Linked DNA regions of Stegostoma tigrinum. The protein of the gene in region 2 interacts with the protein of the main gene of each other region in a biochemical or structural test. Links are inferred from orthologs where the notes say so. Each region holds a gene or a part of one and is shown on either strand. Other genes may lie near its edges. The genes, in order: nuclear transcription factor Y subunit alpha-like and zinc fingers and homeoboxes protein 1-like.

The links.
Region 1: the proteins of zinc fingers and homeoboxes protein 1-like (region 2) and nuclear transcription factor Y subunit alpha-like form a complex in vitro, tested with the Homo sapiens proteins (2 studies listed by BioGRID). The link is inferred for Stegostoma tigrinum from reciprocal best matches to the Homo sapiens genes ZHX1 and NFYA.

What each region holds. Positions count from the first base shown.
Region 1 is NC_081374.1:9,810,423-9,825,481, forward strand, and holds the start of nuclear transcription factor Y subunit alpha-like, read left to right. Parts: upstream 1-9,024; 5' UTR 9,025-9,156; intron 9,157-9,181; exon of another isoform or gene 9,182-10,118; intron 10,119-15,059. UniProt on the Homo sapiens protein: Component of the sequence-specific heterotrimeric transcription factor (NF-Y) which specifically recognizes a 5'-CCAAT-3' box motif found in the promoters of its target genes.
Region 2 is NC_081358.1:39,332,517-39,347,972, forward strand, and holds the start of zinc fingers and homeoboxes protein 1-like, read right to left. Parts: upstream 7,413-15,456; 5' UTR 7,019-7,412; intron 6,982-7,018; exon of another isoform or gene 6,328-6,981; intron 1-6,327. UniProt on the Homo sapiens protein: Acts as a transcriptional repressor. Increases DNMT3B-mediated repressive transcriptional activity when DNMT3B is tethered to DNA. May link molecule between DNMT3B and other co-repressor proteins.

The DNA.
Region 1 (15,059 bases), on a different chromosome or scaffold from region 2:
TCTATGAAATAATACTTAACTTGTTAATGCTATTTCTTTTACTACTTTATACTAAAGCACCTTGGTACCCAAGATGGCACCTTTGGTGGTGACATTTTACACTTTTCACTGTACTTGAGTATACATGACAATAAAATCTAAATCCAAACTTAAACTGAGCATTATGACATTTCAACTGCTTATCCAAGAACTTAAAAAGGTTGTGAGGATACCCACCTCAACTACCCTCCCAGAACCACACAGCCCTCTAAGCAAAAAAGATTTCCTTAAATTCCCTCTAAACTTCCTGCCTTTCACTTTAAAATTATGCCCCCTTGTTACTGATATTTCATCTGAACAAATCTTTCTGCCAAATCAATTGTGGCTGGGTGATAAGAGGTAATCAGATATGTTAAATCCTGTCGTAGACAGTCCATGAACTCTTGGAGACCATTTTCACTAAGTTATTTTAGATATGCAAACTTCACAAAGAGCTCCCTCAAATCTTTCAAGGTTTTCTCTAAATATAACAATCACCAGGTTGATTCAGGGGATGGTAGGTCTGCCATGAGGAGAGATTGACTAGGTTGGGATTGTTTTCGCTTGCTTCAGATAAATGGGGGTGGGGTGGGGTGGGGATCCCATTGGAGCTTCTAAAGTTCTAACAGGACTGGACAGGGAGGATGTTCCCGATGGTCGGTGTGTCCAGAACGAGGGTCACAGTATGAGGATTCAGGGTAGATGATTTAGGACTGAGATGAGGAGACATTTCTTTACCCATAGAGTGGTGAGCCTGTGGAATTCATTACCACAGGAAGTAGTTGATGCCAAAACATTGAATGTATTCAAGAGGCAGCCAGAAATAGTACTTGGGTGAATAGGACCAACGGTTATGGGGAGAAAGCAGGTTTAGTCTGTTGAATTCGATGATCAGCCATGATTTTGAATAGCGGAGCAGGCCCGAAGAGCCAAATGTCCTCCTCTTACACGTTTTCTTCCACGTTTCTAAGGCAACTTCAGATCATTTAATGTGTGTGTCAATCATTATGAAAAACATTCACCCTTCAAAAGATTCAGCGAAGTGAACATGGATACTTTGGTATGGCCTTTCTGGCCCTTCCTATAGATGTAATGGCACTAAGGGAGGTAGTCCGAACTCTGATGCAAGGTGCAGGTATTCCCACTCTCTTCTCAATTTCAGAGTCAGCTCCTGGCCACCAAATATAGGGTCTGGCTTCAATCTGAAAATGCCACTGTACCTGTTGTTGTTTGATTTAACACATGCTTCCTCAGCTGTGATGAAATTAATGACCCTCATTCTCCATAGGAGGTGTTCTGTTCAACGGATAGTTCTAACTTCCACGTGATAGGAAGTAAACTATGTATGATCTTGCTGTAAAATACATGTCCACTTTAGATTGGAGTGGATCATTTCTAACATACATTTTAACTTGTCCTGCTGTTACCATAATATTCTTTACTTGTGCAAAGCAGAAAATGTCTACATAGGGACTGTTTGTAATCAACTGATTTGGCAAACGTAATCTATCAGCATTCCCATACAAGTTGGATTGAAACTATGTAAGTGTATAAGTGTGGGTGACAGCAACAATGCCCATATCTTCTCTAGCAGCAAGCCATAAGCAGATATCTCTACACGAGGCCTGAACATTGTGGTCTGTAGTCTGTACACAGTTGGTAAGGTAAAGTCCCAGCATACAGGTATCGGTGGAATTGTCTATTGGGGGCAGTAATGGTTCCTCGAGCTTTCTGACTGGTTTATCATTCAGTACGGGAGTGATCCAACACTGGTTGGCATAACTAGCAACAATTAGGATATTTACTAGTAGCTCTTTGGACTGCAAGTCTGGGCTTTTCTCAAGCCCTTTCCTACTCATTGGTTTCTGTACTTTCATGTACATTATTTACCTTTCTTCCTCTATATGCCCTTTTTACCACAGTTTTTACATACAGCTCTTACATATACACCAGCAACTTACTGCTGCGTGACCTATTTTTCACATCTGCATTGATGCGTATCTCTCAGTTGCCATGTTACAAACTCTCATGCGCATGCCTAATCTTCAAGCTTCCTTGGCTGCTATTTACATTGAGACTACTATTTTTCAGTGCTCTAAGTCTAGACTCCTTTCTGTCAGTAATCTCTTCTGGATTGCTTCACATCTCAAACCATACATCAGGCAGTCTCCAGTAACATCATTAAAGTTGTCTCCAAATTCATAAAACCCTAATAGCTTCTTTAAAAGTTTCTATGAATTGGTAGATAGATTCGCCATCACGCTGGCTGCATTTCTGTAATTATTAATTGATTTGGTGAAACATGGCTCAGTACAATTTTTTTCAAAAGTTTTGGAACCTGGCTTCTCTGGTTTTACCTGACTCCTCAAGAAGGTTAAACAATGCTTTGGACACTGGGGTAATTATGCCCACTTCAATACTGTTAGCTTGAAAAAAAATAATTTTTGGAACCTCCGAGTAGGTATTCCTGCCCTCAAAAGTGTCATCATATGGTCCCAAGGCACCAAAATGTCCAGCATTTTTTTTAAAATTGGAAACAAGATGATAGCACAAAATACTCTCATTGTTTTAAGCACTACCTCACTTTTTCCATTTAAAATAAGGTATTCCTGAGGCTGCCTATTCCTTTCCAACTCTATACCCCTAGCTCGAAACATTTCCCTCCATATAATGGGATACTTATTAATCAGTGTTCCTTCAGGGTACAGCTTCTTTGGCACTATTCATCTCTTCCCTGGGGTAATTTTCTTTTGTCTCAAAGGCTCTACCTGATTTAGTGCAGCAATGGCACATGTTGATTCTATTTTTTTTAATTGAAGCACCTCATACCACAATTAAATTTCTTTTCAATGAATCTGTGGATTGGCCCAGCAAGTGTCGAGGTATTTTTTATCCTCCATTGCCAGTATTCTTCCAATGTTAAATTCCAAGGAGAACTGGGAGGTTGAAGCATTAAAGAGCAGCAGCTTTATTATGGTGGTATTTACAGTAAGGTTTAGTCAGAACTGTTTTCATGCCCGAAACCATTGATGACATTATCATTATAATCACATGATCAGTGTCTTAAAGCGACAGTCCACCATACTTACACAAATACACACCAATTGTAACTTTGAGACCTTGCCCAATGGAATTGCAACAGCAGGTATGAGGAATGGGTGCACAGGATATGGAACATATTAGGATGTGAACAGCAGAAATTTAGATGAGCGACAGGTCACGAAGACCGGAAAGTGGATGTTTGACCAGGAGTTGGGTCATCAAGTCTAAAGCCAACAAGTGAAGCAGGAGGATAGGAGCCTTGAAATGACATTGGATGATTTATGCATCATTTACCTTGCCGCTGGGGCTGTTGCCATCTCACACAGGATGCTGAGAAAGCTGCTGTGATTGCTGTTGCATACACGAATCCAATATTCATCTACACCTAGTTGCAATTTTGAATTTCTAACAGAAAGACAATGTGCTGCAACACTGGGCACTGATAGCTATGTTAAGCGTCCTCACTCTGAATTCGTCAGTTCTGAGGAAGGGTCACTCAACCAAAAACATTAATTCTATTGCGCTACACAGATGGTGCCAGACGTGCTGAGCTTTTCCAGCAATTTCTGTTTCAGCCTATCTCTGCATAGCTGAATCACTTCAGCCCAGGCAACACCCTGGTGAATCTCCCCTGCGTCGTCTAATGCAATCATATTTTTCCAATAGCGTGGTAACCAGAACTGCACACAGTAGTCCAAATGTTTCTCACTAACATTATATGTAGTTCTCTGCCCTGTAAAATCTCAATGACTTCTTGCAAATTGTCCTGATAAAAGCAAGAAGAAAAACACATTTTGTCAAAGCCTTTTCCAAAAATATGCATATTATTTATTCCAAGGATCAGTACTCTAAGATCTCGCCATGTTTAATGCCTTTCAGCCACTGTACACTAAAGGGTTGGAAACGGTGTCAAAATCCAGGCTACATGCCTGACAAAAAAATGCACATTGCGACCATCAAGAGTAATGAAATGTTGAGACATCAGAATGGCACATGCTGTATGGACAAAAATTAATTCTATTATATTTTCTGTAAGTTCCAATTGAAGTTTTTTGCCCGTAGGCTACATGCCTGAAATGAAACAGATATTGTCAATATCAACAGTATTACAATTGTATTGGGGCACTAAGAGTGGAACATGTTGAACGGAAACAAGCAAAACTTTGTTACACATTCTGTAATTGTTAGTTTTTTTTGCAATATTCTTGAATGAATAAAGTGTTTTCAATTATTTACAATCTAAATCAATAATCAAGATGAAGGTGATATATTTGACCGTAACATTTTCAAATTTACTAATGATGCAAAGTTAGGTGTAAAATTAAAAATAAGGAAGATGTAAAAATGCTGCAGTGATAAAGACCTCCACACCATCCATTACCAATGCATAACAGTAGCAGTGCATTCTATCAAGATTTACAGCAACAACTCATTAAAGTTCCCATGACAGCACCTTCCAAACCAGTAGTCTTTAACACCAGAAAAGGAAGGACAGCAGATGCATGGGAATGTCATAACCTACAAGTCTTCTTACAGTTACATACGATCCTGACTCGGAAACACTGTCACTCCTCCACTGTTGCTGGGTCAAAATTGTGGAAGTCCCTTCTTTACAGCACTGTGAATTATTCAATACCAGATGGCCTCAGCGGTTCAAAACAAAACAGTAGCTTCTGAAGGGCAATTAAAGAAGGACAACAAAGTCTTACCTTACCAATGATGCTCACACCCATGAAATTTAAAAAAAAATTCGTGACAGAGAATTATATATCTTTGAATACTAAGAGATATGAGCGATATGTGGATGTTGCAGGATGTAGCAATTGGGGAAAAAGACCAGCCAGGACTTTAATGATGGAGCAAAGGGCCAAAGGTTTCCTGTAGGTTTCTAAGTGCTATTTAGGGGTGTGATTTTGTGGAACATCTACTGCCACTCACCCTTTCCTCATGTTAACCATAATTATACATCAGTTGTGAAGTGTAGTGAATGGTTCTCAGGAATTGGCAGGTCACATGGACATACAAACAAGGAACAAGAGTAGGCCACTCGGCCCTTAAAACCAGTTCTGCCTTTCAATAAGATTGGGACTGATCTGATTTGAACCACAACTCCTCATTCCTGCATATCCCCCATAATCTTTCATTCTCTTGGTAATCAAGAAACTATGCACCTCCCACCTAAAAAATATTTAAAGATTCTGCATCTACTGCCTTTAGAGAAACAGAATTATAAAGAAAAATGTTTTAATCTTTTCCTTAAATGGGTGATCTTTTTTAAAATTATGATCCATATTCTCCTGCAAGAGGAAATATCTTTTCAACACCCACCTGGTCAAGTTCCATCAGGATCTTACGTTTCCAATGTATCACAGACTCTTCTAAAAACTTTAAAGAACACACGTTTTGCTTGTCTCGCCTTTCCTCGGAAGGCAATCCACTCATTCCAGGTATTAAGATAATAAAATTAAGCTAATAAAGCTAATAAACCTTCCCTGAATTGCTTCCAATATGTTAACATTCTTGCATGCACATGGTGACCTGTGCTGTACAATAATCCAAATGATGCAGTCTCACCAATGCTCTCTATAGCTGAAGTATGACCTCTGTACTCTCGCATTCAATTCCCCTAAAAATTAAGCCAAGATGTTCTAATCAATTTTCCTGATTACTTGTTGCATGTGTATACTGACATTCTGCAATCCACCCAGATCACACTGCAGCCTCTCACTATTTAGATAGTCTATTTTGGCAGGGGGAAAAAAAAACTATTTCATACCTCTCCACATTGTACACAATCGGTCAGATTTTTGCTAGTTCACAACTGGTTCATATCCCTTCTGTCCTCTTCACAGCTCACATTCTGGATTTATTTTTGGGTAATCAGCAAATTTAGCTACCATTCCTTCAGTGCCTTCATCCAAGCCATTTTTAAAACTTTTAAAATGTTAAGGCCCCAGCATTAGAGATAATAGGAACTGCAGATGCTGGAGAATCAGAGATTACAAGGCGCAGGGCTGGATGAACACAGCAGGCCAAGCAGTATCTTAGGAGCAGGAAAGCTGACATTTAGGCCCTTCATCTAGGCCCGAAACATCAGCTTTCCTGCTCGGCCTGCTGTGTTCATCCAGCCCTACACCTTGTTATCTAAGGCCCCAGCATTGTCTTCCATGGCACACCATCGATATCCTGCCAGTCTGGAAAAGACCCATTTATTCTTTCCTGCTAGCCAGCAAATCCTCTATTCAAGACAATATGTTACAGTCTTCATCATGAGCTTTTATTTTCCATTATCATATGGTTCTGGAAATTTAACACATCCACTGGTTACTTTTTATCTTGCTTCTTCAGAGAACTCCAAAAAATTAGTTAAACATGATTTCCCTTCGACATATTTAATTATAGCTTCTGTAAGTTTATTTATGGCAGATGTTAAGCTAATTAGTATATAATTTCCTCTTTTCTACCTGTCTCCCTTTTCGAATAATAGAGTTACATTTGCTGCTATTTGGAAAATTAAAACCAATGCTTAAACATTCTGACTAGCTGTACAAGTTAAAAGCAAAATATTTAAGGATGCTGGAAATCTGAAAAGAACACAGAGAATGCTGGAGAAACTTAGGTCTGGTGGCATCTGTGGTGAGAGGAAGAAGTTAATATTTCAGTTCAGCACCTCAAAACCAGCTTCACTTTTTAAGAATCAAAAGCAGAGTACTGGATAAACTTAGGTCGTCAGGCAATAGAGATGAAAACAGAGATAACATTTTGAGTCCAGTGACTGTCCAAGTTCATTCTGAAGAAAAGCAGAATCCTAACAGTGCAGATAGAGGCCATTGAGCCCATCAAGGCTATACTGACAGTGCGAACAGCATCCTGCCCAGACCCATTCCACCCCCCCATCCCTGCATTTTAACATGTGAATACAACTAGCCTGTACATCCCCAGGTACTGTGGGCAATTTAGCATGGCCATTCCACCCAACCCGCTTATCTTTGGAGTGTGGAGAAAACCCACACAGACAAGGAAAGAACATACAACTCTGCACAGTCAGACCAAATCTGGAATTGAACCTTGGCACTGTGAGACAGCAGTGCTAAATCACTATGCCACCCTTAAATGCAACTATGGGATGTGAACCCACATCATGTAAGTATTAGTTCAAAGCCCCTGCATTTCTAACCCAGGCACATCATCAACATACCAACACCACTCAGAATCACTGGACTAAAGAAGGGTTGCTAGGCTCAAAACATTACCTGTTTTTTCCTGCACAAGTACTGCTTGACCTGCTGAGTTTCTCTAGCAACTTCCTCCTTTGTGTAACATTTCTGGTAGTGCTGTTATTTATTTTACTTCACGCCTTTTAAGAACCTAGGGTGAAGCTGGGGATGGTAATAGACTAGTGGTATTATCACTGGGCTGTTAATCTAGAGACCTAAGTAACATTCTGGGGGTTAAAATAGTATCAGAGATAATGGGAACTGCAGATGCTGGAGAATTCCAAGATAATAAAATGTGAGGCTGGATGAACACAGCAGGCCAAGCAGCATCTCAGGAGCACAAAAGCTGACGTTTCGGGCATAGACCCTTCATCAGAGAGGTGGGGTCTAGGCCCGAAATGTCAGCTTTTGTGCTCCTGAGATGCTGCTTGGCCTTCTGTGTTCATCCAGCCTCACATTTTATTATCTTAACCATTCTGGGGGCCTTGTTCAAATCCCACCATGGCAGATGATGGAATCAGATGACTATAAATCCATTGCCAGTCGTTGGAAACAACTCATCTGGCTCACTAATATCCTTTATGGAAGGAAACTGCCATCCTTACCTGGTCAGGTCTACATGTGACCCAACAACAATGTGGTGGACTCTTAACTGCCCTATGGGCAATAAATGTTACCTGCTAAGTGACACCATCATCCTATGAATGAACGAAGAACAAAAAAAAATGGATCTGGGGACTTGTCAACTCACAGTTAAAACAATTAAATTATGTACCATTTCCCTGTTCATGGTAACTCTTGCAAGTTCCTCCCTCAGGTTAAATTCCTGGTTCACAGTTATTTCCAGGACCTTGAGCAACTTAGGGGAGGCAATAGTCCAGTGGTATTATCTCTAGAGTACTAATCATGAGATCCAGGTAGTGCTCAGGGGACCTTGCATTGAATCCCCTAACAACAGTCAGTGAAGTTTGAATTCAATTTTTTTTAAAAAAATCCAGAATCACAAGTCTAAAGATGAGCACAAAACCGTTGCCACTCACTGGGGAAAAAAAAATTACCAGGCTCAGTAACGTTCTTTTAGGGAAGGAAACCGCCAACCTCACTTGGCCTGGCATACATATGACTCCAGGCCCTCAGGTTGACTCTTTACAACTCGCTACACAATTAAGCCTAATCAGCAATACCCTCAGCCCGAATACTAGTTTAGCCTACATGTGAACCCAGACCTACAGCAACGTAGGTGACTCTGAAACTGCTCCCTCAGCAACTGGGAGAGGGCAATAAATGGTGGCCTTGCCAGGGACATCAACAAATCTCCAAAACCTATTATTCAACAGATGGGGCTTATCACAAGGCACTTTCTTGTGACTTACCGTCTTGCCTATTCCTCAACTCAAAGGATGCCTGCTGGTAACTCTTACTCACAGAAGCAAACAACACAACTTCACAGAAAGAAACGACAGCAGCTAAACTGGAAGCCCAACGGAGACGCGAAAGAAAAAGAATCCATTACCAAGATGGCGGCAGCACTGCACAGGAGTCACGTGCCCTGCGGGCGCCGGGGTCCTTGTAAACCAGCAGCACCACGTGAGTCATACCTTTTTTTTTCCTTTGCAGCTGCGCAGTGTGATCCACCCGCCCCCTAACCCGCTGGAGGAGGAAGCCAATGCCGCGCAGGTGCAGTGGCGTGGCCTCCCCGGAGACTCAGTGCCCCCCCCCCCAAAACAAGACGACCGGCCGGAGAGCGCATGCGCAACAAGCGGTTTCGCGAAGGAGAAGGCCGCTCGCAGTTGGTCGCCATCTTGTGCTGCTGTGTTCCTATTCGCCGCCGGGGCATTGTGTTTAATACCGGAGCCAATCAGAGGGGCAAAAGCGCGGGGTAAGTCCGGCAAATTGCTGCCAACAGGCTGCGAGCTGGAGTTGGACAGGAAAATGGGAGTGAGAAGAGGCAGTGATACGGCGTGGGGGTAGTTACTTATGACACCCCCCCCCCCTTTTTCATTCCCCTTCCATTTCGGCATCGGGATTGGATAGATCGAAAAGCGAATACATTCAAGAGTGGGGGGAAAAAAAATCACCGAGCGGGAAAGGGTTTTGGCGGGAAGCAAGCGCAGATTTTTTTTAAAAAAATTTCATTCCCGTCCTTTCTCTTTTTTTTTGTTCTGCCGCTGCTGTCTTTCTTTGCTTACCCCCATTCACCCTTTTCGGTCCGCTTTGCCGTTCACTCTTCTCGGCCCGCGTTCCCCACCCTCTCCTCCCCCCATCTCCCCTGTACAGGGGGTAAAATGGCGGCTGCGTGGGGTCGGGGTAAGGAAATGTCTGTTTCCGCCGCCCCGATCGCTCATGGGCCGTCAGTCGACGGTTGTTGCTTCAGGATGGGGGTCGATGTCGATTCCTCCTGACGTGATTAACGATTTCTTTTTAAATCGGTGTTAGTGTACGCACGGTATTCGCGCTCTGAAATGGCGGGTGAGACTGTCCGGTCTGGCAGTGCAGCCCGTCTTGTTCTCAATCTCTCACTTCGCAGGCTGTCTCTGCGCTACTGACTGGATACACCCTGGGTATTGATCCAGGTGGAAGGAGGTGCTGTTCCACCTTCAATTTCTTCACCACCCCTTGCTCCAGACTGTCCTTTCAAATCACTTGGTCATCTGTATCCTGCTCTGATACCTTTACTGTATGTGAGGAGCGCTGTGGGAATGCAAACTGTAACGCCTCGCAAATACAGAGTTATCATCAAAGATGCTACATTTCTTTGTGAAATGTCGGGAGGACTAATGACGAACATAGAGAAACTTTCAAATCTCCTGTTAACGGGGAAACTTGTATGCATGCATGCTGGTATGTTGGTGTGATCTTTCTAAGACCGATCTACTAGTCGCTATTAGACAAAATTTGTTAGAAATTTCTAACTTAAACTCCTGAAGGAAGTTGTCAGTTGTATAAACGTATTTTCATCTGTGAAAGTTGTTTGTCTGACATGCTGCACTTAAATTATGATGTTGTTGGTTTGTAAGTTTTGGGTGGGCAGGTGTCTGGCTCCAATCGTGATTAGTTTAGGTACCAACAATCTGGCGTTTAAATTTTAATTCCCAGTCTTTGTCCAGTAGTTTGCTTTAAGAGATTTGTTTTGCCCTTTAAAATTTTTGAGCTGACTGTTGTATTAAACTTTTTTTAAAAATATCATACATTTGGTATTTCCAAATCTATTTTGAAAGCTTTCACCTGGTTCTGAATCTGAAGATAAAGTTGGGAATTGATATGAATTTTAACTGTTAATGATAGCCACTTGAGAGTTATAATTAGGGTGTTAAATTTTCTACCTCTCTGAATAAGATGTTAAAATAAATTGATCTATTATAGGTTTATTAAACCTGGAAAATTTGAAGTTATGGATTGACCATTTCATGTTTAGGCATCTTTGTAGAATGCACTTCAAATTGTGCAGTAGTTGTTGGTAATAGAAACAATTGTTTAAGATGATGGAAAAGTATTGAAATAACCTTTTAAAAAGATTTTTACCTGTAGTATGTCAAGGCTTCCAATTAGGATTAACAGGATTGGATTGTCTGCTGGTTTGAAGGATGTTATTGCTTTAAGGTGATTCAGTAACAAAAATTGAACACTTGTATTCAGCGCAGTGATGACTTTGAAAAGTGGGTTTCATGTGAGTGTAGAAATTTGAAGCTGTCTTATTTGCCACACCCACTTTCATTGATGCTAAAAATGTATTGATCTCAAGCTTGATATGGATTCCCTCTATATTCAAATTGCATTTTTTAAAAAAAATCTAAAGTGCTTAAAACAAAAAGACTCTGGAAGCAATTGGAGCCTATGCTTTTCCAGCTCAATATATCATGGAATGCCTAAAATTTTAATTAATTTTTTTAGTTGGTTTAATGTCTGCATCCACACGCATTTGATAACTACTTACAAGAAAAGTAACAAACGAATTTCTGATATACATTATTTTTCAAGATTATCGTCGTCGTAGTACGACCACTACCATTGTAGTATCCCTGCATTGTGGAAACAGGCCCTTGGGCATAAAAAGTCGAGACAGCGCATCGGAGCATCACGCCCAGACTCATTCCCTATAATGCAACTAATCTACACATTCTGTACCCTACGAGCAATTTATCATAACCGATCAACCTAGTCTGCACATCTTTGGACTGCGGGAGGAAACCAGAGGACGCCCACACAGACACGGGGAGACTGTGCAAACTCCATGCAGTCGCCCGAGAGTGGAATTGAACCTGGGTCCCTGGTGCTGTGAGGCAGCAGTGCTAACCACTGAGCAAGATGTGAACATCTTTGAGAAGACCACTATTTAACTTTTGAACCCTAGTTGTCCTTGAAGCTGTTGAGTCATCTTTGAATGTATAGTATGTTTTAATGAAGGTTTCCACAATACAATGAGAAGGAGCTCTAGCAACAGTGAAGGAATGGTGATGTATCCAAGTGAGAATGGTGTATTTCTTGGTCCTGGTTTCCTTTGTGTCTGTTGTTCTTCGATGGCTGGGGTTCTGTGTGTGAAATGTGCTAATGAGGAAACTTTGGTGACTTGCCATGAGATAGTAGGAACTGCCAGTGCTGTAGTCCAAGATAACAAGGTGTGGAGCTGGATGAACACAGCAGGCCAGACAGCATCAGAGGAGCAGGAATGCTGATGTTTCAAGTCTAGACCCTTCAAAACATCAGCTTTTCTGCTCGTTCGTTATAATGTCATGACAGCAGCATTTAATATGTCTGTGGAATGGACTGCTTATCCTTGATAGTGTCAACTATACCCAAACAAGCAAATGCTTTGTATTGGAGAAGCTCAGCAGGTCTAGCAGCATTTGTGGTGAAAGAAGCATTTGACTATAAACATGGTTTCTGAAGTTCACGTGCAGCGTGTACATAAAAGGTTGAATTGAAACATTGACAAGGCTGCACAAAACCCCAGGATCTTAAGAGTGAAGAAGATACAACTAAGCACGATCACTAGAGACAACTGGCTGGGTTTCTTTAAACAAATGTGTGTTATGTTGTTTATCTTTATTTCAAAAGCACTTTGCACAAAAAAATCACAAATACATTGAAAGATTCTATATTGTCTGTTTGGCCTTTGGAAAAGTGGGGGTGTGGGGGGAGAAACACAATGGAATTTGACATTTCTCAACTACTCTACAGTTGCCAAAAATGTGGGAAAAGCCTCTTTTTTTTATACAAGAAGCTTTTCATGTTGAGCTAGTGAGTAGATCTGCAAACTGAATGGACCCTTGTTATTACTGTGGTGGAAAAACTGACTGTGGTCTTTCCCTATTGCACCTTGGCTGCTGTTCAGAGCTTCACTGCATCCCTTGCACATTGTCATATAGCACAGAAGTAGACCCTTTGGTCAAAGTTAGTTGCATTGACCAGACATCCAATCTGACCTATTCCCTTTTGTTCTTTGGCCAGCATTTGGCCCATATCCCTCTAAATGTCATTATTGTACCTGCCTCCAGCACTTATACTTCCCCCTGGCAGCTCGTTCCATATAACGTCACCCTCTGTGAAAACGTTACCCCTCACGTGCTTTTTTAAATCTTGCCCCTTCTCTCCTTAAACCTATGCCCTCTGGTTTAGGAATAGCCTACCCTCAGAAAAGACTTTGTCTATTCACCCTATCCATGCTCCTCATGATCTTAATTCTCTATAAGCCATCCCTCAGTCTTCACTCTGGGGGAGGGGGGGGTGGAAAAACCCAGCCTATTCCGACAGCTCAAGCCATCTAGTCCCTATTAACCTAGAATATTCATGTGCGCAAATTTTTATCTTGTCTGCGACATGTACCTGTTTGAAAGTGGGTTCTCTGCCACCAGCCAGTAAACACACTTCCTGGTGAACTTTATCCAAAAATAAACAAAACTGCAACTTTTAAGAAAATAATGTCTGGTTACATATAGGACACATTATTTTTGTCCAACTGTTAATAAAATCAGGAGGTTTAAGGTCAGGAGTAGGCATTTTACCTACAGCTGGTGTTACACTAATGGGCCTCTATTTCCGTTTTCTCTCACTGTCTCTTTTAGATAGTGGTGTTATATTTGACACTTTGCAATATGCAGGGACCACTCCAGAGTAGATACAATTTTGAAAGATGACCACAAACTTTCCACCATCTTTCCAGGCACTTCTTTCGACATTCTGGGAGATACATCCTGCTGTCTAATTGAGTTTACATACTTTTAAGTCTCATTAATTTCTCTGGTACTGTTTCTTTTCTTTAAACTAATTAGTATCTTGCAGTTCTTTGTGTACACCAGTCCCTAGACTCTTATTTATGGAAGGTTTTTGGAGAAGACATATGCAGTATTTGTTTATTTTCCATCATTCCTATTTTTTCCATTTAGAGATTTTCCCAGGTTGGCTTTAAGAAAACCACATTTCTTTTTGCTGTTCTTTCCAGTTTTACATACCTGTGGAAGCTTTTAATCTGTTTTTATATATTGTACTTTACTCTAATTATGTTTTCTATTTCTTATCTTTTTCTTGGTCCTCCTTGGAAGCATTTTAGAATTCTGCAATTTTCCAGGCTTTCTTAGCAAATTTATAGGCCTCTTCCTTTGCCTGTTGATTCAATGCAATTCTTGATTTATTAGCCATAGTTGGATGCCTTCCTTGCTGCGTGTTAGTCCTTTTAAGGAATGTATTTTTGTCATATACTGTGTACCAGTTATTTAAATCCTTTTCAGTTTCAGTTTACAATCATGCCGTTAATGTAATTTCACAGTCCACTATTGCTAGTTTGACCTCCAAAGCTTCATACATCCTGTTGTTTAGATTTAAACCACTTGATTAAATGAACTTGAAAATGATGTGCTCTAAGATGCTATTGTATTATAGTTAACAAGGTGTGGAGCTGGATGAAGAAGGGACCAGACCCAAAATGTCAGCTTGCCTGCTCTGTTCATCTAGCTCCACACCTTATTATCTCAGACTCCAATATTGATAGTGCTGTTTTATAATGGTTCCCTTACACCAGAAATTCTAATTAGCCTCTCTTATGTTTTGTTTTTGTTGAGCAGTACTTGGTCTAATGTTTCTTTATTTATTCATGGGATGAGGGTGTCGCTGCCTAGGCCAACATTTATTGCCCAAAAGGCATTTAAGGGCAACTGCATTTCTGTGGCTCTGGCGTCACATGTAGGCCAGACCAGGTAAAGACACCAGTTGCTTTCCCTAAAGGCCATTAGTGAACTAGAGGGGGATTTCCAACAATTGACAACGGATTCACAGTCCTCATTAGATTCTTAATTCCAGGTATTTATTGAATTCAGATTCCACTAACTGACATTGCGGTCGAACCTGAGCCCACAGAACATTACCTGGGTCTCTGGATTAACAGTCCAGTGATAATGCCAATAGACCGTTGCCTTCCCTAATGTTGCTATTTTCCAGTTGGATTTTCAAGATAGTGCTCAAGAAGGCTACCTTGCATGCATTCCAGAAACTTGTCCTCCGCAAGATGAATAATTGGCTTTTATCTATGCCTGGTCAAACTTAACTGCTCTGTTGCGTAAAGTGTTGTGCATTCCAAGTATTAGGTATACGTCATTGGCGGTCCTTCTGAATAAGAATCAAAAACAAAGTTTCTGGAAAAGCTCAGCAGGTCTGGTAGCATCTGTGGAGGAGAAAACAGAGTTAACATTTCGGGTCTGGTGACCCTTCCTCAGAATGTCGGGTACGCCGAACCCGAAACGCTAACTCTGTTTTCTCCTCCACAGATGCTGCCAGACCTGCTGAACTATT
Region 2 (15,456 bases):
ATTATAAATAATTTTTAATGTTTAACACCAGTATTGAAATCCAAGACCGTCATTTAGATTCATTACATTGGAATATAAATACTTTAAGGATTTAAAGTTTCCTGATCTCAACTGTGTTCATATGACATTAAAGACCACTTATTTAGCCACAGAAAGTGAGGGCAACTTTAAATCTATTGTCAATGTATTCCATTAACTTCCTTGCAGGTCGCTTGTAGTACACTTACAAAAGTCACTGAAGCACATGGGAAACATTTCAGTCAAAGATAAAAGAGGAATCACATGACCGATCCCAAGCATTTGAGGTCTGAGATTTGACGTAAGAGTAAAGAAACTGAAGCTATGTGGCTGGGGAAGATCATAAATGATATGGGTTTTCTGCTCCTGATTTTTTTTTAAAAGTGTATTATCCGATCACTGCAAGGCTGATTAAATCTAATAAAGATACTCCATCTTTTACTTGGTTCTACTATTACAGAACAGTTTCTGCATACCTACCCAATCAAATCCTTTTCAACATTTAAAATAGTAAGCACAATATCCTTCTTTTACAATGTTGGTTGAGGAATAAATAGTGACCAGGCCAGCTATGGGAATAAGGTCACAATAATTAGATCATAGTAAGAAGTCATAAAGCCAACATAGCCCATGCTGGCCTATGCAAGAGCAACTTAGCTTGTCACCTTTTCCTTAATCCTGCAAGTGTTTCCCTTTAAAAGCTTATCCAATTCCCCTTTGATTGCCATAGCTCAACTGGCCTTCATCAGCATAAAAATTTGCATTCCAGATGTTAACCACTTGCTGTGCAAAAATGTTTGTTCCAATTTTGCATTTGGTCCTTTTCACAATTGTTTTAAATTTGTCCCCTCTCGTTGTTGACCATTCTCCCAGTCAGAAAAGGTTCTCGCAATCAAGTCTATTTGAACTGATAATTTTGTACATCTCTATAAAAACTTGTGTCAAACTTCTCTTTTCTAATACGAATGCCCAGCTTCTTCAAATCTATCCACTTATTAAAATCATTCACCCCCAAAATCATTCTCATAAATCTGCACACTTTCTAAATAACATCCAGCTTTTAATTAGATAATGTCATAATGTCAAGGGATTTTTTTTGTTAAGAGTACAGATGGGTCTTGGTTTAAACACTTTATCTGAAATGACGTACATCCAACTGTGCATCTGTGCCTTACTAATGTATCAAAGTATTAATCCAAATTACATGGTCATGCCATTGGAACAGGCCTTGAATCTTTGTATGACTTTCTGAATGTGACATTGGCAATACTGGGCTAAGCTTCAAGAACTCCAAGAGTGCAGAGAAGACAAGTCCCTATTTCCACAATGTTTCCAGAAAATGGGAGTTCCTTGTTACTTTGAGAAAAGCTCACTGTTTAGAGAAATAACACAATTGTGTCGTAAATTGGAGTGCAGGCTGGAAAATAAGCTGACAACTGCCCTAAGAATGATTGATCAATGGTGTAAGCACACATCCATGTCAACAACTGCACCAAATTTAAAAAAAGGCAGATAATATGATCCTTGCCAAAAAAAAGTTGGTTCAAAAGAGTTTCAAGGGAGGTTAAAAGTAATGCATCAAACTTTTAGGATTAACCTGGAATAAACTTACCGTGATGCAAACCTAATCAAATGTGTAATCTGAGATTCTGGTGTAACAGGTCTTCACTTAATTTTATCCTCAACTGAATCTGACATTCGGACTACATACAGTTAGAAGTCAAATTTTCTGTATTGTTAATCCACAATAAAAGAAAAGCCTGTGTGTAATCAAACTTCACAAAAAAGTGGAAAACTGCCTACTCGTTTTCCTGTTCACCCCATTGAGTCCGATCTACCATATATGATATGATCATGGCTCATTTGCTATTTCAATGCCATATATTGCTCTCTCTCCATCTCTGTCAATGTCTTTAGTTTTTAAAAATCTATTTATTTCTTCATTAAACACACTCAGGGAATTGGACTCTATAGCCTATGGTAGAAAATTCCGCAGGTTCATCACACTCAATGAAGAAATTTCTCTATCTCATTCTGATGTAGCCCAACCCACATCCTGAGACCTCGAGTTCTTGCTTGGGACCCTCTAGCCAGGGAAACCTCCTCCCTGCAGCCTGTCAGAATTGTGTATGTTTCAATGGGATCACCTCTAATTAATATCAATTATAAAATAGTAATTACATTTTGTAAAATATATATCAGGCCAGATTTTCTACTGGCCAGAATATCATTACACCAGTTTGGATTAGAAGTGCATATGGGAACCCTGTGTTATCCATCTTAACAGGCTTTCCCAAGTGAATATCCCATAAAATTGAGATTTGAATTTAAGTGAACTGAATGCAATTCCTCACAATTTAACAAATAAATAGAATATTAGTTCACTGAAGTAATCCACTAGTGTATAGGGTGAACGCATGATCCACAGGCATCATGGCTCTGTGGGAATTTAAATGCTGTTAATTAGTTAACTAAATCTGGAACAAAAAGCTCGTGTCAATAATAGTGACCACAAAACTGTTGTAAAAGCTTGCCTGGTTCACCAGCATCCTAGAGAAGGAGATCTGCCATCCCTTACCTTGACTGCCCTACATGTGATTCCAGACCCACGACAATGTAGTCAATTCTGAAGTGCCCTGTGAAACAGCTGAGGAATCCATTCAGATGTCAAGAGTGTGGTTAAACAACACTGCTTCAATGATAATTAGGGATGGACAATAAATGCTGGCCTGACCAGTGACACCTACATCCTGTTAATTAATGAGAAATGTTTACTAATATCACAGATATTACTACATCTAGCTGCTTTTTCAATTGTACAAAATGTTCATTTGGGATAAAAACTAATTTAGGAATTCAATGGATTAATTTAGGAGATTTTCAAAGCAGTGGTAATGTACTGCTGAAGGACACCAAAAGTACAAAAACACTTTCTTTGTAGGTATATAATTAAAACCTGTTAGTTTTTACTTACACTATTGTAATTTGTGGAAACACAGAAACTCAACGGAACTTTAAAATCTCAAACAACTAATTTTTGCTGAAGAACACTACATACCAGTGAGTCACAGACCTCAAAGTCAGAAAAACAGATTACTCACAACTTGTTAAATTCTTCATGCATAGTGGAATAAATTTTATATTCCACAATTCCCTTTGAAATATTTCCTAGACCTTGAGAAACATGGTAAAGCTAAAAAACACACTACTCATTCAATTTATGATCCAAAGTGAAAACTCAGTTAACTTACGTATGAAAGTATAGGGCAATAATTTTCTTGTTGAAAATCACAACACCAAGCTTGCAGAGATTACTCTCACAGACAAATACACAGTCAGTTCACAAAATAACAACATACAAGTAAGCATGAAATTATTCATAGATAACAAGGTGTGGAGCTGGATGAACACAGCAGGCCAAGGAGCAGAGGAGCAGGAAAGTTGACGTTTCGGGAAGGGTCTAGGCCTGAAACATCAGCTTTCCTGCTCCTCTGATGCTGCTTGGCCTGTGTCTGTCCAGCTCCACACCTTGTTATCTTAGATTCTCCAGAGTCTGCAGCTTCTACTATGTATGGAATTATTCAGGCTGGGCTCTCAATTTCAATCTTGCAAATATTATGACGTGCCAATGGACATGCACTAGCAAGAAAAGAAAATCAATTGGAAAGCTGAGTTTTGTCAAATTTACCACTTCAGAAGTTCAATATGGTGCTTTCATTTTCCCTCTAGATACGAAGAATTTAAACACATCTTGTAAGTACTAGTGTTTAGGTGCTGCGCATATAATTACTTCTTTATATAACAATTCTGAGCAAGCAGTTAAAATGGATGTTAAACTTAGTCACCAAAATTTCAATGTCTTTCAACAATATCATTTTTTAACCCGCTCTTCAGAGTGGGAAGATAATTAGTTTGAGTTCAGGTGATTATCATGACCGGATAATAATAGGAATTGCAGATGCTGTAGAATCCGAGATAACAAGGTGTGGAGCTGGATGAACACAAGAGGAGCTTTCCTGCTCCTAAGATGCTGCTTGGCCTGCTGTGTTCAGATCACAAGAGAAATCAAAAACTTTTGTTCAAGGGAAAATGGATGAGAGGTGAACATTTGACTATAAATTTAAACCTAGAATTTCTTTGGACTGCAGGACCATAGCTAGCATTGAGTGAAAAGTACACCCAACACAATAACTACAATATTCAAATTAACTCTTGCCACAGCCAATCAAATAATCAAGAACAGAAGTTCAATAATATGTACTGCACTTTCAAGTTCTAGCAAAGAGAAAAATGAATGAAAAAATAAAGAATCACAGGATAAGGCGTTAAAGTCTCTGAACCATTGGAAGATTCTTGGAGCCTCACGAAAGACACCATTTTCACTGATCTGACTGAATTACTACTTTGGTTCTCTTGTAAATTGCATTCATTTTCCAAACCTTTCAATCCAGCTTTGAAAAGAAAATCATGAAATTGAAAGGTATTTTCAGAAATAAAAATGATAAGAATAAAGTTCTTCCTTTGTTCCTGCTCTTTCCCAAGTCATGGTTGTGCTGCTTGCTCTCTCCTTTGAGGCCATTCTTGCCAGTCCTGAGTTTCACAGCTGCTTTCAGTCCTTTGTTATGTTCTGACTAATGCTTACGTTCTCTCTCTTTACTCAGTTCCAGTCGACAGTTTCTGCTTGCCTAATCCCAAACCATACTGCTTTCCTTGCATCGGCTACAGCTAAATGCACTGAATTTCTTAATAGTAAGTTAACCATCCCACATCCCCAGTTCCAGAGGAATATCAGTCACAAAATTCAATAGGATGAATTGACTCTGTAGATAAACAACAAAAAAGGGAGAAAAAGACAAACTAACAGCCAAAGAAAGCATCTGTACAGAATTGTTGGATAAGAGATAAGTACTCACTTCAGGAGTGAGGAACAAACCAGGTGGAAAAATATAGTACAGAGTACAGAAAACTGGAGGAAGAGTAACAAAGAAATTAGACATAAATTTGTTTTGTTACTTCACCATTTGGACATAATGTGTGCTTTCTTCATCCTGTCTAGATTAGGATTTAAAAAATTCTCGAATAATTTCTCTAGATCTGATTTCTGCTTGTGTTTTGCTCTTTTATTGGCTGTATATACTTTATCAGAAAAATCTGGAATTCTAATCTGTCTGCTACATTATTTTTTTAAATTAAAGAATCCTTGGAATTTGCATGTTTGAAAATAAATCACGAAATTGAATGATCATACAAAATGTAGTCAAATATTCATGAACATTCAACTGACATACATGGTGAGTTAATGTCACTGCTCTGACTTTCTAACTTGATCAATTAAACTCAATTCAGAGACAAAAATTATAAATCTTAAAAACAAAAATTAAACATGCAGTTTGGTTTTGGAAGGTTTGGTTTGTTATGTTCTGAAATCATTCTAGCCTAATGAGAAGTCATAGAAATCGTGACAAGGCTTTCAGCTTTGCTGAATTGAACAGCTCTTTGGGCAATTTCATTTCAAAATTATACACTGGAATTTGCAAAGGAACAACACAAACCAAACCAAAACACCTTCAACCAATCCTCAGCAAATTAAAGCAAAAAGGGGCTTTACTAATTTTCATTAGCCCAATAACTTGCCTACAGCCAGGTGCAAAAAAAGTGCTCAATATTCAAGAGATTGCATTTATTTTGCCACTTTAACACAGCAAAATGTCCCAAGGTGCTTCAGAGGAATGCTATCAAGGACATTAGGATCTTCCTACTAGAAAGCACTGACCCTTCAATGGCTTTGATTAGCATAAGAACACAATAGATAACAAAGTGTGGAGTCGAGCAGGCCAGGTAGCATCAAAGGAACAGGAAAGCTGACATTTCGGGTCAAGACTCTTCATCTGAAGCTCCATTTCTGAAGAAGGGTCCCGACCCAAAACGTCAGCTTTCCTGCTCCTCTGATGCTGCCTGACCTGCTAGGTTCCTCCAGCTCCACACTTTGTCATCTCTGACTCCAGCATCTGCAGTTCTTGATATCTCATTAATATTGTCTTCTTTTTTGTTAATTATCTTAGGATGCTTCAAAGTAGCATTATCTGAGAAATAAAATCGCAAAGCGCGGAGGACAGCGAGGGCAACTTAGTTAAGGAGGGCATGTTAAAGGGGGGGGGAGGGAGAGAGAGAGATTGAAGGAGCGTTATATGTTATTTCCAAACTGGGCGCATTTTGTAAACATAAATAACAATAAGGTTATAGAGGGAGACTACTCGGGCCCTTGTGTTAGTTCCAGCTCTTTGAAAAAAAATAACAAAACAGTCCTACCTCCTTCCTTTAGCTCTCCTTGATGGAAAATCAAGCAGATCACGTTGCAATGTTCAAGTTTTTTTTTCTGGAATAGGAAACACTAAACTCTATCCACCACCTCCTCAGTGTAAACAACATGGAAGGATGGAAGGCTGTAAACAGAGCGCACCCACACGGTCGGGGAGACCGGGTGCAATCTGAGCAGCCAGCACCGAGAAAGGACAAGATGTGGAGAACATCTTCCAGCCATAGGCGGGGGAAGTACCTGCCTGTCAGAAGTAAGGTCGGAGGTGGTACACTCTACCCTGTATCCCCGAACTTATTGTTCTTCTTATTACCGGCAGCTGCCCAGTGGCCGGGCCGTTTCACTGGCGAGGGGCGGAGAAAGAGGGGGCTGCTGGCGGAGGAGGAGAGTTCCGCGAGGGGGTGGCAGTTGACAATCGCGCGGGGGTGACGGTTGTTGCCCCCTCGCTGACCCCTCCCCGATTGTCAATGAGTTCGAGCTCTGCCACCTTCAAACAGTCGAAGCCTGACCGCCGGCCAGGGCGGCGAACCGACAGCGGATCTGCCGATGACATGTACCGCTGGTGCGGAAAGAACCAAACATCGACCTCCTCCCCATCCGCTACAACCGGCCTTTCCTTTGAACCCAATGTGTCGCGCCCAATTCTTCTCTCTCCGCCCGCCCCCCGGTAATGAGGGGGCATACCTGACTCCCCGAAACCGTTCGAAACGCATTGTTCTCCTACCGATCTTCCCGATTTATCGGTATCCCTCTTTCATTAATCGACACATTAATTTTTATAAATATATCGGGAGAGAGGGCAACGCAGACGCCCTGACATCATCGGAGCGCGACTTTGCCAATAGGCCGTAAATTGGATTGTGCTTGGCTTTATCGGCATGGTTCGCTTTTCCTCTGTAAAACATTCCTTTTCTCCCCCCACACGAAGGGGAAGGTAAACCATAGCTGTAACAAAGTGCCCGCTGAAGCCGAGGACAGTAAAATGAGATACTGTAATTAAACGATAATCGAATTGTAGCAATTCCTTGTGAGGACATGTCGTGAACCACCATCTCCTGGAGTGCCGTCACCGGTTTGACCACCGGCGGCTGTTCAGCCGAGCATTTCTCAAAGTTGAGTTGCGATCAGCAGTTCTTTGTCTTTTGTTCTCGACTTTAGAGCAGCAGTGGTCCTTAACGGGAGTTTAATAGAATGAATAAGGATGAACTGGTTTCAGGAGGTAGGAAGATTGGTTATCAGAGTACAGCTGTCAAATTTACAAAGGTGAAATAGGGTAGAATTTGGAAGATCTGACAAAAACGAAACGTGCTAGAGATGTCCAGTAGGATTGACGGCATCGGTGGCGAGTCCAGTGTGACATTAAAGATAGCGTCATTCTGGTCTCTAAATCCTTAACTAAAAACCCAGAGAACTGAGAATGCTGCATATCAGGAATCAAAAAAACAGAAGTTGCTGGAAAAGCTCAGCAGGTTTGGCAGCATCTGAAAGGTCACCGGACTTGAAACGTGAACTCTGATTTTTCTTCACAAATGCTTCCAGACCTACTGAGCTTTTTGAGTGACTTCTGTTTTTGTTCGAGACCTTAACTGTTTCTCTTTCTCCGCAAGTGTTGTCAGACTTGTTTGTTTTTCTCCAACACGTTTTTGTTTGTAAGACAAATTTCAGAAATTTGACAAAGGACCCATTAGGTCGAAAAGGAAATTTGTTTAAGCTTAGCATGGAATGGGCTACCTGAAGTGGTGGGGTGGGGCGCGTTCGAAAGGAAGCGAATAAAAGCTAAAACATTGCAGTGCGATGTGCAAAAACCGATGGGGGCGGGAGGACAGGAGTGCAGGGTAGACTTACTTAGGTAGTCCTTTTAAAGAACCAGCTCAAGTGCCACGTTTTCGTTTTGTCACTGTACAATATAGAAACTAAGAGCAGGTGTACACCACCTCTGCCGTTCAGTACGATCATGGCTGGTCCTTTTATCTCAAAGACCATGTCCCACTTACTGTCCCTACCCCTTGAAGCCCAAGTTTTCCTTTCATCATTTGTTTTCAAATTGTCTCATTCTCCCTTTTATTGGCAGAATTGAACAATATAGTGCTATATTGGTTTCACGGATAAAAGGTTGTTGAATGGTTTATTTTAAAGCTTTAACTGTAGAATTCAGTTTTATAAAGGAGTAAGACACATTGCTTTAGTTGCCTTCCATGCTTGACACGTATATAAAAATCATGACTTTGGTTTGCTTTGTTTGTGCACAGCACAACATTCTTGTAAGTTGCCGAGCAAGCCAACGATAAGCACTGGATTTTGTCCCCGTCTTTAAGAATATCATTAAGGCAAATGGAGGAAAATGAACACCACTTCTGAAGTACAGGTTGTCCACTTATTTGAAAAATAGTTAACTCAACTAAAGGACTCATCATCTTGAAGAAAGTATTGAACAGATTAGGCCTGTACTATGAGATTTAAAAGAATGAGAAACAGTCTTGAAGGGAGTGGATGGGACAGATGATACCCAGAGGATATTTCTTCTAGTGGGGCACTCACACTAGGGACATCATTTAAAAATGAAGAAACTGAGGAGAATTATTTTGAGGGTTGTCGAAGAAAAAAGTTGAGGAATCTGTGTCTTAATTTTATTCAAGGCTGAGTTAAATAAACAAGGGAGTCAAGAGTTAATGGAGTACAAATACAGTGGTGAAGAGACCACAACCGGATAAGCCATAATTAGGCTCAAAGGGCCAAATGTTCTGCTCCTTTACTGAAGTCCTATGTAAATGGATAGTTGAAGTTATCTTAAATGATCATCCCTTTTAAAGTGTCTCCACAAAACTTTCACGAAGTTGGACACGATATGATTAAGAGATATTTACTACTTAGTGTAGTCATGTCATTTTTTCAGAATGACGAAGAAAGGTCCAGTTGAAGGGAGGAATACTTACTGTTCAGGAGCATATTTTAAGAGAGTTGTTCAAAAAGTTCAATTTTTAATTTTTTTTAAAAAATAAAACAAACTGGGCTTTAAGTATCAATTTCGGTTGCACTCGATGCTGACTAAAACTAATTAAGTCCATGTACCTAAAAGTGTCTTGTGTAGTTGAGCACCAAAATCCAAGAACAATCTTGTTGAGAAAATCTGAATGGAGTTTTTTTTAAGATCTCACATCTTTCCTGATTCAGTAAATAACATTCATCATCCTATTTTCTCTAAGTATGCAATGAATAAGCACTGAAACACTTCCAATAGTCTGCAACTGGAAATCCTAAGCTCTGGAATGAAGTAATACGATGAGGCCTGTGTTTCACTGAGCGAAGTGAGAAAATATTTCTGTAGCGACACACAAGGCTTCCTTCAATTTGTTTCCATTTGTAAATCTGTTATAGCATTTTAGTTTCACTGTTCTGAAGTTATTCAATAGACATCTAAAAATTTTGCCCCAACAAAACAATGGACATACTAGTATGCAAAACAGCCAGGAAATAAGCATTTTCACCCCATTTTACTGAAGTCACATACAGACAGCAGATAATGTAAATACGTTAGCTTGACCCCTCACTATAGCAAAGGCTAAGCAATGTCTTGCACCAAATATAACAGATCAATTCTGACAAATTTTGCTCCACATGAACAGTTAGCAGGATATAAATAGTTTGAAAGGGTGGTAAATTGACTAGCAGTCTTGTCTAACCGTTTTGATGGCCTGTAAAGGCAAGAATTCAGAACAAAACAAAGCTGAACCAGTTCTTGTGTTAAAATAAGACATTTCAGTGGTGTGACTTTGGGGTTGTTCAGTTCTTTTGGCCAGTTTTTCTGAAGTGCACTGCCGATTTTTTTCTTCCTTGCATCATTTGCATGTGTCATCATTGCTATTAACATTAAATATTAATAAGCGGGTTGACATGAATATGGAAATTCGGGTAAAGAATGCTAGAAATTCATCTGAAGGTGAATGAAGGGCATTGGTGGCTATGTGTGATGAAGGATAAATATCACTAGGAAAGAAAATCGTTAGGACAGAGAATTGCAATGCAGGTTAAGGCAAGAGTTAGGGGACCAGCCAGAGGCATCGACAGAAGCAAGCCAATTTAGAATTTTGTGCTTCTGTTGGTCTTTGCAATTGATATTGATTAATCCCACTCAAATTCTTTAGCCATAGTTCTACAATGTTTCCTCTTTATGAAGTATTTCTTCTTTATTTAGGTTTTTCATTTATTCACTCCTGGGACATGGCATCACTTGCTGGCCAGGATTTATTGCCTATCCCTAGTTGCCCTTGGTGTTGAATTGTCTTCTTGAACTGTTGTGATTCATGTGCTGTGGATAGAACCAGAAAGGCATTAGGGAAGGAATCACAGGATTTTGATTCAGCAGTGAGGGAATGGCAGCATTTTTCCAAGTCAGGATGTTCAGTGGATTGGAAGGAAACTTGCAGGTGTTGGTATTCAGATGTATCTGCTGCCCTGTTTTCCAGATGGAAATAGTTATAGGCTTGGAAGCTCAGGATTGTTCGTGAATTTGTCAATAGCGCACACTGCTGCTTCTGATGTTCAGTGGCAGAGTGAATGTTTGAGAGTATGGTGCCATTTAAGCCCATCAATCTTATGGAATTGAATGTGGGAAAGGTGAGAGGTCATGCACTTTGGTAGAAAAATAGAGGCGTAGCCAATTTTTGAAATGGGGAGAAAATTCAGAAATTTGAAGTGCAATAGGACTTGGGAGTCTCAGTCCAGCATTCTGTTAAGGTTAAGTTGCAGGTTGAGTCGGTAGTTAGGAAAGCAAATGCAATGTTAGCATTTATTTCAAGAGGACTAAAATATAAAAGCAGGGACATACTGGAGGCTTTAGAAAGGTGTAGGCAAACCACAGTTAGAATATTGTGAGCAATTGTGGGCCCCATATCTCTGGAAAAATGTACTGGCCCTGGAATGGGTCCAGAGGAAGTTCATGAGAATGATCTGAAGAATGAAAAGCTTAACATGTGAGGAACATTTAAGGACTCTGGGTCTATACCCCATGCAATTTAGAAGGATGGGGAAGGGGATCCTAATTAAAGCTTTCGGAATATTGAATGGCCTGGACACAGTGGACATTGGGAAGACGTTTCCATTAGCAGGAGATACTAGGACCCGAGGACACAGTTTTAGAGTAAAGACAGACCCTTTTGAACAGAGATAATGGGAACTGCAGATGCTGGAGAATCCGAGATGACAAAGTGTGGAGCTGCATGAACACAGTCGGCCAATTTGTACTCACTTTTGAACAGAGATGAGCAGAAATTTCTTAAGCCAGAAGGTGGTGAATCGATGCAATTCAATGTTACAGAAGGTGTGGAGGCCAGGTCATGGAATATATTTAAGACAGATTGATTCCCTTGACAACCAAGAACCTTGCTCCTCCTGCAGAATGTGGCATTTGGGAGATGTGGCACACGTCTCCGCTGGCTACATCTGCGGGAAGTGCACCCAGCTACAGCTCCTTGAAAACCGTGTTAGGGAAATGGAGCTGGAGCTGGATGAACTACGGATCATTCGGGAGGCAGAGGGGGTAATTGAGAGGAGTTATCGGGAGTTGGTCACTCCTAAGGCTCAGGACGAGGATAGATGGGTTACAGTTAGGGGGAGGAAAGGGGACAGACAGACAGTGCAGAGATCCCCTGTGGGCATTCCCCTCAGCAATAAGTATACCGTTTTGGATACTGCTGGGGGGGATGACCTACCAGAGGAAAGCCATAGTAGTCAGTTCTCTGGCACTTTGCCTGACACTGTGGCAAAGAAGGGAAGGGGGCAGAATAGAAAAGTACTCGTGGTAGGGGACTCGATAGTAAGGGGAATCGACAGGAGATTTTGTGGGCAAGATCGGGATTCCCGGAAGGTATGTTGCCTCCCTGGTGCCAGGGTCCGGGACGTCTCCGATCGGGTGTATAAAGTTCTAAAAGGGGAGGGCGAACAGCCAGAAATCGTGTTACATATTGGCACAAACGATATAGCCAGAAATAGGTTTGAGGATATAAAAAGTGATTTCAGGGAGTTAGGATGGAAGCTGCAGAGCAGGACGAACAGAGTAGTGTTCTCTGGTTTAATACCAGTGCCACGAGATAGCGAGGTGAGGAACAGGGAGCGGGCGCAGCTGAACACGTGGCTACGCAGCTGGTGTAGGAGGGAGGGCTTCAGATATGTTGATAATTGGGATGCCTTCTGGGGAAGGTGGGACCTGTACAAGAAGGACGGGTTGCATCTGAACTGGAAGGGGACCAATGTCCTGGGTGGAAGGTTTGCTCGAGTAGTTCGAGAGGGTTTAAACTAGTATGGCAGGGGGGTGGGAACCTGAGCTGTATACCAGAGGTGAGCGTTGATGCAGGTGAGGCAGTAGCAAGAGGTAGACCAGCTAGTGGGAAGGATTTTCCTGGGAAGGAACCAAGGGATCGGTTAAAGTGTGTTTGCTTTAATGCAAGGAGTATCCGGAATAAAAGTGATGAACTTAGAGCATGAATCAGTACCTGGTGCTATGATGTTGTGGCCATAACAGACATGGGTTTCTCATGGGCAGGAATGGTTGCTGGATGTTCCAGGGTTTAGAACATTTAAAAAGAATAGGGAGGGGGGGAAAAAGAGGAGGGGGTGTAGCACTACTAATCAGAGAGGGTATCACAGCTACAGAAGCTTCCTTTGTCGAGGAAGATCTGCCTACTGAGTCAGTATGGGTGGAAATTAGGAACAGCAAGGGAGTAGTCACCTCGTTAGGGGTTTACTACAGGCCCCCCAATAGCAGCAGGGAGATTGAAGAAAGCATAGGTTGACAGATTTTGGAAAAGTGTGCACGCAGTAGGGTTGTTGTAATGGGTGACTTTAACTTTCCTAATATTGATTGGAACCTCCTTCGAGCAGAAGATTTGAATGGAGCTGTTTTTGTAAGGTGTGTTCAGGAGGGTTTCCTAACGCAGTACGTTGACAGGCCGACGAGGGGAGAGGCCATTCTAGACTTGGTGCTCGGAAACGAGCCGGGGCAGGTATCAGATCTTGTGGTGGGAGAGCATTTTGGTGATAGTGACCATAACTGCCTCACATTCTACATAGCTATGGAGAAGGAGAGGATTAGGCAGAATGGGAGGATATTTAATTGGGGAAGAGGAAACTATGATGCGATTAGACATGAGTTAGGAAGCATGGACTGGGAGCAGTTGTTCCATGGTAAGGGAACTATAGACATGTGGAGACGGTTTAAGGAACAGTTGTTGGGAGTGATGAGTAAATATGTCCCTCTGAGACAGGCAAGAAGGGGTAAGATTAAGGAACCTTGGATGACGAGAGCGGTGGAGCTTCTAGTGAAAAGGAAGAAGGTAGCTTACATAAGGTGGAGGAAGCTAGGGTCAAGTTCAGCTAGAGAGGATTACATGCAGGCAAGGAAGGAGCTCAAAAATGGTCTGAGGAGAGCCAGGAGGGGGCACGAGAAAGGCTTGGCAGAAGGAATCCGGGAAAACACAAAGGCATTTTACACTTACGTGAGGAATAAGAGAATGGTCAAAGAAAGAGTAGGGCCGATCAGGGATAGCATAGGGAACTTGTGTGTGGAGCCTGAGGAGGTAGGGGAAGCCCTAAATGAGTTTTTTGCTTCTGTCTTTACGAAAGAAACCAACTTTGTAGTGAAAGAAACCTTTGAAGAGCAGGTGTGCATGCTGGAATGGATAGAGATAGACGAAGCTGATGTGCTGAAAATTTTGTCAAACATTAAGATTGACAAGTCGCCAGGCCCGGATCAGATTTGTCCTCGGCTGCTTTGGGAAGCGAGAAATGCAATTGCTTCGCCACTTGCGAAGATCTTTGCATCCTCGTTCTCCACTGGAGTCGTACCTGAGGACTGGAGAGAGGCAAATGTAATTCCTCTCTTCAAGAAAGGAAATAGGGAAATCCCCGGCAATTATAGACCGGTAAGTCTCACGTCTGTCGTCTGCAAGGTGTTAGAAAGGATTCTGAGGGATAAGATTTATGACCATCTGGAAGAGCATGGCTTGATCAAATACAGTCAACACGGCTTTGTGAGGGGTAGGTCATGCCTTACAAACCTTATCGAGTTTTTTGAGGATGTGACTAGAAAAGTTGATGAGGGTCGAGCTGTGGATGTGGTGTATATGGACTTCAGTAAGGCATTTGATAAGGTTCCCCATGGTAGGCTCATTCATAAGGTCAGGAGGAATGGGATACAGGGGAACTTAGCTGCTTGGATACAGAATTGGCTGGCCAACAGAAGACAGCGAGTGGTAGTAGAAGGAAAATATTCTGCCTGGAAGTCAGTGGTGAGTGGAGTTCCACAGGGCTCTGTCCTTGGGCCTCTACTGTTTGTAATTTTTATTAATGACTTGGACGAGGGAATTGAAGGATGGGTCAGCAAGTTTGCAGACGACACAAAGGTCGGAGGTGTCGTTGACAGTGTAGAGGGTTGTTGTAGGCTGCAGCGGGACATTGACAGGATGCAGAGATGGGCTGAGAGGTGGCAGATGGAGTTCAACCTGGATAAATGCGAGGTGATGCATTTTGGAAGGTCGAATTTGAAAGCTGAGTACAGGATTAAGGATAGGATTCTTGGCAGCGTGGAGGAACAGAGGGATCTTGGTGTGCAGATACATAGATCCCTTAAAATGGCCACCCAAGTGGACAGGGTTGTTAAGAAAGCATATGGTGTTTTGGCTTTCATTAACAGGGGGATTGAGTTTAAGAGTCGTGAGATCTTGTTGCAGCTCTATAAAACTTTGGTTAGACCGCACTTGGAATACTGCGTCCAGTTCTGGGCGCCCTATTATAGGAAAGATGTGGATGCTTTGGAGAGGGTTCAGAGGAGGTTTACCAGGATGCTGCCTGGACTGGAGGGCTTATCTTATGAAGAGAGGTTGACTGAGCTCGGTCTCTTTTCATTGGAGAAAAGGAGGAGGAGAGGGGACCTAATTGAGGTATACAAGATAATGAGAGGCATAGATAGAGTTGATAGCCAGAGACTATTTCCCAGGGCAGAAATGGCTAGCACGAGGGGTCATAGTTTTAAGCTGGTTGGTGGAAAGTATAGAGGGGATGTCAGAGGCAGGTTCTTTACGCAGAGAGTTGTGAGAGCATGGAATGCGTTGCCAGCAGCAGTTGTGGAA